Oryctolagus cuniculus: one gene and its partners. The protein of the gene in region 3 interacts with the protein of the main gene of each other region in a pairwise test. Links are inferred from orthologs where the notes say so. Each region holds a gene or a part of one and is shown on either strand. Other genes may lie near its edges.

Region 1 (4,276 bases), on a different chromosome or scaffold from region 3:
CACACACCTCTGCAAAATGAAAAAAAAAATGAGATAGGACTATAAAATTTAAGTCTGAGCTATGCTATAGCCACTTCAAAAGACCACAATATTAAATATGAATTATGAAGTTAGGTAATCTCGTTCAAACACCTGTTCTGACAGTTGGACCTCTGATGAGTCACTACACATCACTGTTTTCCTGTCTAACATACATTTGTTGTGAGGGTTAAATCCACTAACATATGTAAGGATGAGAGCAGTAATTGGCACATTGTAAGAACATGTCAGTGAGAACTATTATCAGAGAGAAGTCTAATTAAGAGAAGTCTAATTAAATAACATTCAGTGACTGGGTGAAACCGCTTTTGAATCACTCAGACACACCTGAGGGTGAGGGAACATCTTGCCAGCAGAATAAATAAGTCCATGGACAAAAGGTTGGTTTCCCACAAAACAAAGAGCACTTGAGAAAAGAGCCAGGCCTTACCATCCATGCTGTCAAGAGCAGGGTCAACAGGGAACATCGAAAGGGGATGAGCTGCCCAGAGGATGAGTGACGTAGGATCCTGGCTGTGGGGAAATCAACATTGGAGAAGTTAACTCATGTCTTTCACAGTACATATCCAGAATCCCGCAAATTCTACGGGCTCCAACCGCAGAATTCACCAGAATCTGACCATTCCTCGTCTCCTCCTAGTACAGAAGCAGTCTTCTTTGACCTGCTTTCAATCTACGGTTACAGAAACTCAGCTGAGGTGCGGAGCAGTTTGTACAATACTAGATTACCCTGCAGAGATGGAATTGTGAACAATAATTACTGGGGTTAGGCTATTACCATCTTTACTGCCTGTAATATACACTTAATGTCCACTTTATCCTCAGCAGCTTAGCATGTGATTTCACTTAGTTCTTGCCTTTGTTACAATTTAATTCAATACTAGCCAGCAAAGCACGGAGTAGTAGTTAGCATAGCTAACTTGTATGATTCAGGGCACTGTCCTTTTTGACTTAAAAAGATTTTTTTTTTAAAGATTGATTTATTTATTTGAAAGGCAGTTACAGAGAGGCAGAGGCAGAGAAAGAGGTCTTTCATCCACTGGTTCACTCCCCAGATAGTCTCAATGGCCAGAGTGGTGCTGATCTATAGTCAGGACCAGGAGCTTCTTCTGGGTCTCCCACGCAGGTGCAGGGGCCCAGGGACTTGGGCCATTTTCTACTGCTTTTCCAGGCCATAGCAAAGGGCCAGATCAGAAGTGGAGCAGCTGGGACTCGAACCAGCACCCATATGGGCTGCTGGCACTGTAAGCGGCGGCTCTACCTGCTACACCACAGTGCCAACCCCTTAAAATGATTTTAAAACTGCAAACAGGAGCAGGCATTTAGCCTAGTGGTCAACAGCCCTTACCCACACCAGAGTGCCTGGGTTCAAATCCTAACTCTGGCTCCTAATTCCACTTCCTGCTAATATACACTCTGGGAGGCAGCAGGTGATACACCAAGTAGTTAGGTCCCTGTCTCCTACAGGGGAGATCAGGACTGTGTTCTTGGCTCCTGGCTACAATCTTGGCCCAATCCCAACTGTTGTAGGAATCCAGGGAGTGAACCAGCAGATAGGAGCCATTTGTTAGCCTCTACAAAAATAAAATAAAATAAAGCAAGTCAACAAGAGTACATTCCTAGGTTACAAGTGCTCTGTGATATGTGCGACTTAGGAAAGTCTGAGGCTTTTTTATTTGATTTAATAAATATTTCCACGGATCCCATCAAGCACTGCACGAGGCATCATCTATTACCGAATCTGCTGGATTGGAAGCTTCCTGAGGGTTAACAGCAACTGTCTTGCTCATATCTATAACCAGCACCCACCAGTCCCCCCAAACAAACCTGCACTCTTCTTCCCCTCCTACCCAGGGCCATCCAACCAAGACTATACGTCTCTAAGACGTACTCAAAAATCTTCCACTTCTGTCCGGCTTCACCGCCAAATGCCCAGTGTAAGTCACCACTAATCTCATGCCTGAATTTCTTTAATGATGTCCCACTGCCCTCAGAACAAAATCCCCCAAGCCTTTGGAGCAGGGGATGCCCTCTCTCGCGTATCTCTACTTCCACCTTTTCCATGCGTTCACCCACCTCCCAAATCATTCTCCAGCCAGGCTGGTCTGCTTTCCACCGCTGGAACACACAACGAGCGGCTCTCAGGCCTCGGGCTTTCTACTGGAAAGCTCTGCCCTAGCTCTCTCTTCTCATTTCCCTGAACCCTTCCGGGCCACCCGACCCGCGGGGGCTCCTGCCGATCCTCTCCTTGAGCCTCTCTGTTGTCACGTCATCCGCCATCGGGCTCTAGCCTGCTGTCTGCTCCCCCCTTTAGATCCAAAGTCTCAAGAGGGCAGAGGTAATGCACTGTGGCCCCAGCGCTCTCAACAGCGATTAGCGTCTCAGAATCAAAGCAATGGGCCGCCTAGAGACAGCCTAGACTGCATGCATTTTCAAAGGTTATTTTTACAAAGGAAAACACTGGTCCCTTAAGTGGATGCTTCCGCCATTCCTCAGCCCCCGCGCTTTTCCCATCGCTCCACCTGGGCGTTCAGATACCCGCCGCCGCCCGGTTTCAGATCTCGCCCGTCCGGGCCCTGCTGGGCTCGGCGCCTCTCGCGCGCAGAATTCTCCGAGCCCCGCTCACGGACACGCGAGGGCGGCCCGTGGCCCCCGGCACCGCCAGAGTCCCCGCGCGCCCCGAACTCGCACCTCTTACCCAGAGCCGGCGCCGGCGCCTCTTCCCGGTCTACAGGCGAACCCGCCAAAATTCCAACTTGACTCCGCCCCTGCCTCTGTCGTCAGCCGCACACGGCGGTCGTGCCGCACTGATTGGCTACGTCAGAGCTCCCGGAGGCCTCCTCCTTGGGTTGAAATTGAAACAAGGCCCGGGCATAGAGCAATCTGATTGGCTCACGTCACGGTCGCCCTCTTTGTTAAGGGCAAGGGAAGTTCCGGTCGGTCAGGCCGTAGCTTCTTTTAGGCAAAAGAAAAAAAAAAAAAAGAAAAGAAAAAAGAGACGTCTTGCACCCCCCAGCGTCGGGATGTCAAATCTTCTCTCATGGTAGTATTTTCTCCGCGGTCCTCAACTTTTTGTGAGGTGAAGGGTGACGACGGAGGCGGAGAAGCCGAGACATGTTCACTTAACCCCGGAGCCACAGTCCACCCGGTACCGCCGTCCCCACGGATCTGCTGAGGCGGGAGTGATGGTGCGGACGTTCCCACGAGCTACTGCTCATCACCCCGCTGCGCTTTGCCGGGCCTGTGTGCCGTGGAGGTGTTTCCGCTCAAGAACAGACAACACAATGATGTTTGCTTTTTGTTTTTATTTTTTAAATATTTATTTATTATTTAAAAGGAAGAGTTACAGAGAGGCGGGGGGGGGGGGTGTCTTCCATCCGCTGGTTCATTCTCGCTGGAGCCAGGAGCCAGGAGCTTCTGCTGGGTCTCCCACGCGGATTCAGGGCCCCAAGGAGCTGGGCCATCCTCTACTGCTATCCCAGGCCATAGCAGAGAGCTGGATCGGAAGTGGAGCAGCCGGGGCTCGAACCAGCACCCATATGGGATGCGGGCACTGCAGGCAGAGGCCTTTTTGAGGCCTTACTGGCTATGCCACAGCGCTGCTCCATGCTATCTACTTTTAACTCTGACCTTGAGAAAGTAACACGTGTGGGTGTCCACTTCACCTCTGTACAGAGAGGTGAAGGGACAGAGAGGAAAAGGGGAGAGGGGAGAGGCCAGATGGCTTTTTTTTTTTTTTTTTTTTTTTTTTTTTGACGCAGAAACTACTATTCGAGGGTAATTCGTGATCCATAGATTTTGGAAAATTATAACTGGCATCAGAGCTGGGAACAACTTATCAGGAGACTTATTTTTCACAGGATTTTTTTTGTAAAAATATTTTTCCTAAAGACATCTTTACATGCTAGAAATAGTTTGCCCATAGTACTAAGAACATGGTTTCTAAATTTAGAATTATATTTAGCTTCTACATGATTTCAAATGACCACTTAAAGGTTTCTTTTCCTCAAGACATTATTGAGGCACCACATTCCCTCACTATTAACAGCATTTTATTGAAGATGGTATGGCTAGCCACTGTGTGTATCTTCAAAATTAAAACCAGCTTTAGAATGACCGGAAAATACACGCTCCTGGTGACATCTACATTGACTTTTTTTTCCCCCTAATAGAACATTAATGCTCTATTTATGAGTATAATCCTATTATTTGACCTGTTATACTGACCCAGGAAAAG
Region 2 (4,088 bases), on a different chromosome or scaffold from region 3:
GGGACAGCTGCATCTGGTATTGGAGTGCCTGCTGCGTTTGAGTCTCGACTCCACTGTCCATGACAGCTTCCTGCTAATGAACACTCCGGAAGGCAGCAGGTGATGGCTCAGGTATTTGGGTCCCTGCCACCCATGTGGGAGACCCGGATTGAGTTACTGGCTCGTGGCTTCCACCTGGTCCAGTCCCAGCCATTGCAGGCATTGAGGAGAGAGCCAGCAAATAAGAGCGCTCTCTCTCTCTCTCTCTCTCTCTCGGCCTCTTAAATACTTTAAACAAATTATTTGTCATAGGCTAATAGTATTAGCTAACCATTGTTTTATGAGCTTTACAAATATGATCTTAATTTTCTTAACACCCTGTAAGTATCTACTGTTATCATCAACCCCATTTCACAGATGATGAAACCGAGCCCAAGAGGGGTGAGGTAATTTTCCCAAGGCAGCAAAGATAGCAGACAAGATGGTGGAGCAGGCATTTGAAACCAGGCAATCTGATTCCAGGATTCATGCTTATTAACTACACTATGCTGCACCATTAGGGAGACTTTGGAAAATACACAGAAACATACACAACCACCTATTTGTACTAGAAAGAACTACTGGTCTCTTTGCTGTATAGCCTTCCTGTTCTTTATATGCTTACATAGTACACTGTATATACTTTTTTAAAAAAAAAGGTCATATTTTGTATCTTGGTCTGTAATCTTCCTTAAGACCATTTCCCTATCTGTACACAAAATCTCCCCATCGTTATTTTATACAGCGCCTAACATCCTTTCATGTGATTGAAACAGTGCTTACTTAAACAGTACCCTGCTGAGGTGCATTTAAATGGCTTTCAGTGTTTCTACATTACAGACTTCTTCAAGAGCCAGAGGAGGGGAATAGGATTTTTTTAAAGCGACCTTTTGAATTCAATCAGCTAAAGCTGCAAATAAGATTAAAAACCTAAAAGCCGCCAGGGAAAGCAGGCCCGTGTGTAGGAGGAGAAGGCAAAGGGGGGGGGGCCGTTACCATGGATCTTCCTGTGCTCCCTTTGTCTGGTGGCCCCACGGGATTGGCCAGACCGGTGCCGAGGGACTGCAGAGGCCCCCCCACCTGGTTCCCAGTGCGCATGCGTGGAGGAAGTGGCTCGGGGAGGGGCAGCAGGAGTGTTGGTGCAGATAACCTCGTGTGAAAGAAGAAACAAAAAGCTCAGAGGCGGGGTTTTTCGCCACAACCAAACTTGTCTCCGGCCCTTTACCAAGGCCCCAAGCTTCTTATTGGTCAGGCATTCTCAGCCCCATTGGTCCGAGTGGCAAAGGATTGGGTCTGCCCCAAGCTGTGCCTGCTTCCGGAGCCTTGATTTAAACGGTCAATTGTGATGCCGCTTTCAGGCACTGTCTACGGCATGTCCGTGGGGGCCTGAAGGGGCTTTGTACAGCTACCGGTACTTGAGCGTACGATCAAGTTTCCAAGATGCCACCCAAAGGAAAAAGTGGTTCCGGAAAAGGGGGGAAAGGTAGAAGGGCCAGAGTAATCCGGGAGAATGGGAGGGGGTGAGAAGGGAGGAAACAGGCAATTTCCGGGGTCCGAGACGGAGGCAGCAGATGGCCGGTGGCCTCACTTAGCTGCGTCGAGTTTATCTGGGGTTTCTCCGCTAAGGCTAAGAAAACCTAAGTGCGCGAGGGGCTGCTGGAGTTGTTGGAATATATTGGGATACAGTTGCTGGGTGGTAGAGGGTAGTAGGGGTAGGTCCTCGGAGACCGTGACTTGGGGCTGCGATTTCAAGGTTATTAGAGCCGTGACATTTAAATGTTATCAAAGGCCGACGGTAAAAAGAAATTCACATTGGTAATGGTTCTTAAGATTCCACTTAATGCTTACAGAATGACATGCCAACATTTGGAAAAGACTTGTTCATCCAGGGAGCAGAAATATGTGTGGTAGGCACAGTGCTTAGTTCTGGGGAAATAAAGCAAGGCACAGCCTACGGAAGTAGTGAGGAAGATAGAAAGCATTATACTAAGGTCGATGTGGAGAGATGTGTGGATGTTGTAGGAACTGAGAAAGTGCTCCATCTAGCCGCAACAGAAAAGGGAAGACTACTGGACATGAGTTAGGCAGGCCAAGGTTAGCATGAGAGGTAGGACAAAGCATTCCTGATAGAGGCTCCAGCAGCCAAAACCCCGAGGTACCCTGGTATGATGCTATAAAGCTTGGTTAAGAGTCAGGAAGACCTGTAAGGGAGATTGTTGGAGTAATCCTGGTGAGAGGCAGTGATGACCAGAATTAAGGTAGTCACTGGGAGAGAAAAAAAAATACTCCAGAGTCTGGAGAGACCAGAAAGTTTTGAAAAACTGTTTGAAAATCAATGAAGCACAGCAAAGTGGCCGAATAAGATGAAGACTAAGAACAGTACTGTTGGATTTGGGAATTAGAGGTGGCCTTAGGCGAGAGTGGTTTTCATGGAGTGAGAAAGGCGGAAGCCAGATGGCAGGGACTAGGGGCTGACAGGGAAGTGCTGAAGTTGGAGATAATCAGTATACACATCCCTGGAAAGCTGTCACTGAAAAGGTATGGAAATAGGATGATAGATAGAGGATAAAGAATCAACAGAAAGTTTTCTTTTGTTTCTTTGGCATGGGGAAACTTGGGAGTAAGGCTGAGGTGAACGATCCAGTAGAATAACAGAGGAGTGAGACTTAGGAGAAAATGAGGTCTAGGACTGAGGGGAACAGTTGACATGACATGTTTCATGTCATAAAGAGACAGGATGGGTGTGATTATAAAAACTGGGGCAGAGAGGAGAACAGAGTGGAGTTAAAGAGATCATGTTTACTGGCCTCAATTTCTTTTTATAAGATTTATTTTATTTGAAAGGCAGAGTTTATATATATTATATTATATATATTATATATATTATATATATATGAGAGCTCTATCTTCCATCCGCTGGTTCAATCCCCAAATGGTAACAACAGCCAGAGCTGGGCCAGACCGAAGCCAGGAGCTTCTGGGTCTCCCACGTGAGTGTAGGAGCCCAAGGACTTGGGCTATTTTCCTCTGCTTTCCCAGGTGCATTAGCAGGGAGCTGGATCAGAAGTGGAGCACCAAGAAGTGAACCAGCACCCATATGAGATGCCAGCACTGCAGACAGTGGCTTAACCTGCTGTGCCCAGCTCAAGCCCCCGGCCTCAGTTGCTTAATAGAAGTAAAGGGTTTTTTTTTTTTTTTTTAAGACTGAAGAGCAGAGACTCAATAAGAGTCTTTAGAAGAGTGGTAAACATCTGGAGTAGGGTAACAGGAGAGGAAATGCAATAAATAAAAGGATTACCCTCAGAGCTGAGAGCCTGACCAAGATTGAAGACTTGGACTTTAATGATATTTTAGGAAATGCTTATTGAACTGGACACTTAATCCAGCTATAGTTCTTAGGAACATGTAGTAGGATGTATGCAGATGTTGACAATGAAGTTAATGTAGTAATTTGATTCACCAGCAAATATTGCCAGTGATTATTATTCTGAATATCAGTGACTTTTCTTAGGAAAATATCAGTAACCAATGAAGTAGAGTTGAGGAATTTGGGCATGAGTGTGTTCTTTAGGCCAATATTGGTAGTGAGAAACTTTGTGAGTGCTTGAATACATAGCTTTAGAATATACGAGTAATCTTACAAGAGCAAAGAGGTATGCCCTCAAAAGGCCAGATTTGAAATTGGGTCCAGGCTGGCGCTGTGGCTCAATTGGCTAATCCTCCACCTGCGGCGCCAGTACACCAGGTTCTAGTCCCGGTCGGGACACCGGATTCTGTCCCGGTTGCCCCCCTTCCAGGCCAGCTCTCTGCTGTGGCCAGGGAGTGCAGTGGAGGATGGCCCAAGTGCTTGGGCCCTGCACCCCATGGGAGACCAGGAGAAGCACCTGGCTCCTGCCATCGGATCAGCGCGGTGTGTCTGGCACAGCAGCCACTGGGGGGTGAACCAACAGAAAAGGAAGACCTTTCTCTCTGTCTGTCTCTCTCTCACTGTCCACTCTGCCTGTAAAAAAAAAAAGAAAAAGAAATTGGGTCCAGAGGGCTCTCATTTGCCCATTGGCACGCTTAACTTG
Region 3 (3,512 bases):
GAGTGTGATGGGTGTGGTGAGTGGTGGGCGTGGGGAGTGGATGGTTAGTGTGATGGGTGTGGTGAGGGAGATGGATCTGTTTCCATCAGTCTTTATGGCTACTCTTCAAGGTTGTTTTTTTTTTTTTTTTTTTTTTTTTTTTTTGGTCAATTCCATCATACTCTGGAGCTATTGTTAGTTTCTGCTTCAGTTGTACTTTTCATTCCTGAAATTTGTTTTATCTCTTTTGTACATCTGGCTTTTTGCCAGTACTGTGCACTTTTTCATTTAGTTCAAAATGTTGTAATTGCTCATTGAAGTATTTTTGTGAGAGTTGTTTTAAAACTGTTAGATAATTCTCTCTTCTCAGTTTTCTCTGGCTCTTGGTCCTTCTTGATTGTATTGATGACGTCTGCAGTATCGCTTTCCGACATTCTCCTTCCTGTGTAGGTTTCCATGGCTTGTGTTATGAATTCTGCTTCCTGTTTAGGTCTTGGACTCATCGCTGCTGTTATGAATTCTGCTTCCTCTTCATCGTATTTTATTTGTTTGAAGGGCAGGGGGAGATCCGTCTTCTGTGTATTCTCCAAATGGCTGCACCAGCTGGAGCTAGCCCAAGCCAGAGCCCAGAGCCCAGAGCCCAGAGCTCCAACCAGGTTTCCCACATGAGTGGCAGGGGCCCAAATACTTGGACCATCTTTTAAGACACTCTCTGGCCGGTGCCGCAGCTCACTAGGCTAATCCTCCGCCTGCAGCGCCAGCACCCCGGGTTCTAGTCCCAGTTGGGGTGTCATTTCTGTCCCTGTTGCTCCTCTTCCAGTGCAGCTCTCTGCTGTGGCCCAGGAAGGCAGTGGAGGATGCCCAAGTGCTTGGGCCCTGCACCCGCGTGGGAGACCAGGAGGAAGCACCTGGCTCCTGGCTTCGGATCGGTGCAGCGCGCCAGCCATAACAGCCATTTGGGGGGGTGAACCAACGGAAGGAAGACCTTTCTGTCTCTCTCTCTCACTGTCTAACTCTGCCTGTCCAAAAAAAAAAAAAAAAAAAAAAAAAAGACACTCTCTAATATGGGATGCCAGTCCTCTACTTCCTCTTTAGATCTCCGTGGTCATGGCTGGTGTTTTGACATTCTGCTCCCTCTAAATCTTGGCCTCATCACTGGTGTTACATAATAAATTCTTCCTGTGTGGGTCTCCTTGCTCATCCCTGGTGTTAGGTTGTTATTGTGGGCAGTGAATGTACTACTTTTCAATCCAGGTTTTTGTCTTCCACACAGGTAGAAATACTAAATACTAAGAGGAGACTAGAATTGTACACAAGTAGGAACAGAATTCATTTTACCATGAGGGGATAAACATGTTCATGGACAAGTCTGTGCTTCTCCACACAGAAAAGACCCATCATGGGTGGGCCAAAGGGTTGCACGTGAACGAGAGGACCAGGAGTGGTACTGCTAAGTGAAAACGAGAGTGGTTCATCTGATAGTCCATGGAGGAAAGAACACTGTCTTGCCTTCAACCTCTTTGTAAACAGAGGGGGGGTACTTAATTAGATGCGCAAACAGGGTGGGCTCTAAGCAACAGATGCATCCTGGGAAGGCGGGCCTATGGAGCTGACAGTTAAAGAGCATGATTTTGCAGGGGTACGAGAATTCCAGCTCAGCTAACTTTGTCTAGTTACACCACATTATCATAAGCTGCTCCTTTTTAGGTCCCCACGCTCGTGGCTGGATTGGTTGTGAATTCTCCTTCCTGCTTAGATACCTACTCATCACTGGTGGTGTTCTTCCTGTGCAGATCCGGTTACTCATTACTGGTGTTACATTTCTTCCTATCAAGTCTCTGGACTCATTCCTGGTGTTTTTTTGTTTTTAAAAGATTTATTTATTTTATTTGAAAGGCAAGAGTTACACAGAGGCAGAGAGAGAGAGAGGTCTTCCATCCTCTGGTTCACTCTGCAAATGGCCAGAGCTGGGCTAACCCGAAGCCAGGAGCTTCTTCCAGGTCTCCTACGTGGGTGCAGGGGCCCAAATGCTTGGGCCATCCTCCACTGCTTTCCCAGGCCATTAGCAGAGAGCTGGATCAGAAGTGGAGCAGCCAGGACTCAAACCGGCACCCATATGGGATGCCAGCACTGCAGGCAGTGGCTTACCCGCTATACCACAGCGCTGGCCCCATTGCTGTTGTTTTGAGTTCTTCCTATGTAGGTCTCTGTACCCATTGCTGGTTCTGTTAGGAGTTCTCCTTCCTGTTTAGGTCATGGTACTCACTGCTGGTGTTGTCTGTACTCATTGCTGGCACCTGCTGGGTGCTGCTGGCAGGAGGGTGAAGGGCGTCGCTTAGTTACAGCCGGGCCAGGCATCAGGGTCCCGGCCCACAGTCCTGGTGCCAGCCACTGCAGGTCAAGGAAGCTGGGAGTCAGGAGGATTCTGCTTAAACTGGCCTCACCGGATTCTTGGTGAGGGCAGGCCAGGCTGGTAAGATGTCACTTGGGGGTGGTGGACAGTGGGAATGGGGGCATCTGGGCTCTTCCTAAAACTGGATTTTAGAGGTGCACTGCGGGCCTGGGGGTTCAGAAACCTGACGAAAGTTATTTAAGCAGAGACTCTGCCAGTATCTGCTTTATTTTTAAGAATTTGAACCAAGGCCAGCGCTGTGGCATAGGGGGAGAAGCCGCCGTCTGCAGTGCCGGCATCCCATATGGATGCCAGTTTGAGTCCTGGCTGCTCCACTTCTGATCCAGCTCTCTGCTGTGGCCTGGGAAAGCAGTGGAAGATGGCCCAAATCCTTGGGCCTCTGCACCTGTGTGGGAGACCCAGATGAAGCTCCTGGCTTCGGATGGCTCAGCTCCAGCCGTTGGCAGCCAACTGGGGAGTGAACCAGCAGATGGAAGACCTCTCTCTCTCTGCCTCTCCTTCTCTCTCTGTATAACTCTGACTTTCAAATAAATAAATAAATCTTTAAAAAATTTGAACTTGTATTTGTTTTCAATATAAGAAATACTGAACTGTCTGTTTTCTCTTCTTAGCTGAGCTTCAGTCACTGTCTGTTCCTGGAACTTACCAGGAGAAGATTACTCACTTGGGAAATTCTCTGATGAACTTAACGGGTCTCAGAGCTCTGGACCTCTCACGCAACTCCTTGGTTAGTCTGGAGGTACGTTTGATGAAAGAGAAGATTTACTGCTGTCAGTATCAGCAGAGGCTGCACTTGTGGTAAAACCATCTGTTTCTTAGTGAAGTACTTGAAGTTCCCGTGAACGGCATGCTCAAAGGTTGGCCGGTGTTGTGTTCTGTGTCACGTCACGTCCTCACTTGACACGGGTGATCGGCACTCCGAGACTGATGGACGTGGCTGAGACCTCAGAGGAGTGACTAAGAGGCCAGGAGCTGCGGTGTGCATGCCCGTCACTCCCTACCTCGAGGTGTCCGGCCACCTTCTGCACCTCCCTGTGTCTGGCCCCGCTCTTTTTTTTTTTTTTTTTATGAATCTTATTTTATTTTTTGACAGGCGGAGTTAGACAGTGAGAGAGTCAGA

What was found. The genes of interacting proteins can lie anywhere in the genome.
Region 1: the proteins of CEP72 (region 3) and MCM10 interact in a two-hybrid assay, tested with the Homo sapiens proteins (2 studies listed by BioGRID and IntAct). The two-hybrid records come from large-scale screens. The link is inferred for Oryctolagus cuniculus from reciprocal best matches to the Homo sapiens genes CEP72 and MCM10.
Region 2: the proteins of CEP72 (region 3) and PIN4 interact in binary tests that used the Homo sapiens proteins (3 or more experiments, as listed by UniProt). The two-hybrid records come from large-scale screens. The link is inferred for Oryctolagus cuniculus from reciprocal best matches to the Homo sapiens genes CEP72 and PIN4.

Annotation. Positions count from the first base shown.
Region 1 is NC_091444.1:69,845,894-69,850,169, forward strand, and holds the start of MCM10 (protein MCM10 homolog), read right to left. Parts: upstream 2,802-4,276; 5' UTR 2,738-2,801; exon of another isoform or gene 2,731-2,737; intron 553-2,730; 5' UTR 507-552; coding exon 470-506; intron 1-469. UniProt on the Homo sapiens protein: Acts as a replication initiation factor that brings together the MCM2-7 helicase and the DNA polymerase alpha/primase complex in order to initiate DNA replication. Additionally, plays a role in preventing DNA damage during replication.
Region 2 is NC_091453.1:52,235,460-52,239,547, forward strand, and holds the start of PIN4 (peptidyl-prolyl cis-trans isomerase NIMA-interacting 4), read left to right. Parts: upstream 1-1,287; 5' UTR 1,288-1,458; coding exon 1,459-1,501; intron 1,502-4,088.
Region 3 is NC_091445.1:97,319,723-97,323,234, reverse strand, and holds part of CEP72 (centrosomal protein of 72 kDa), read left to right. Parts: intron 1-3,003; coding exon 3,004-3,131; intron 3,132-3,512. UniProt on the Homo sapiens protein: Involved in the recruitment of key centrosomal proteins to the centrosome.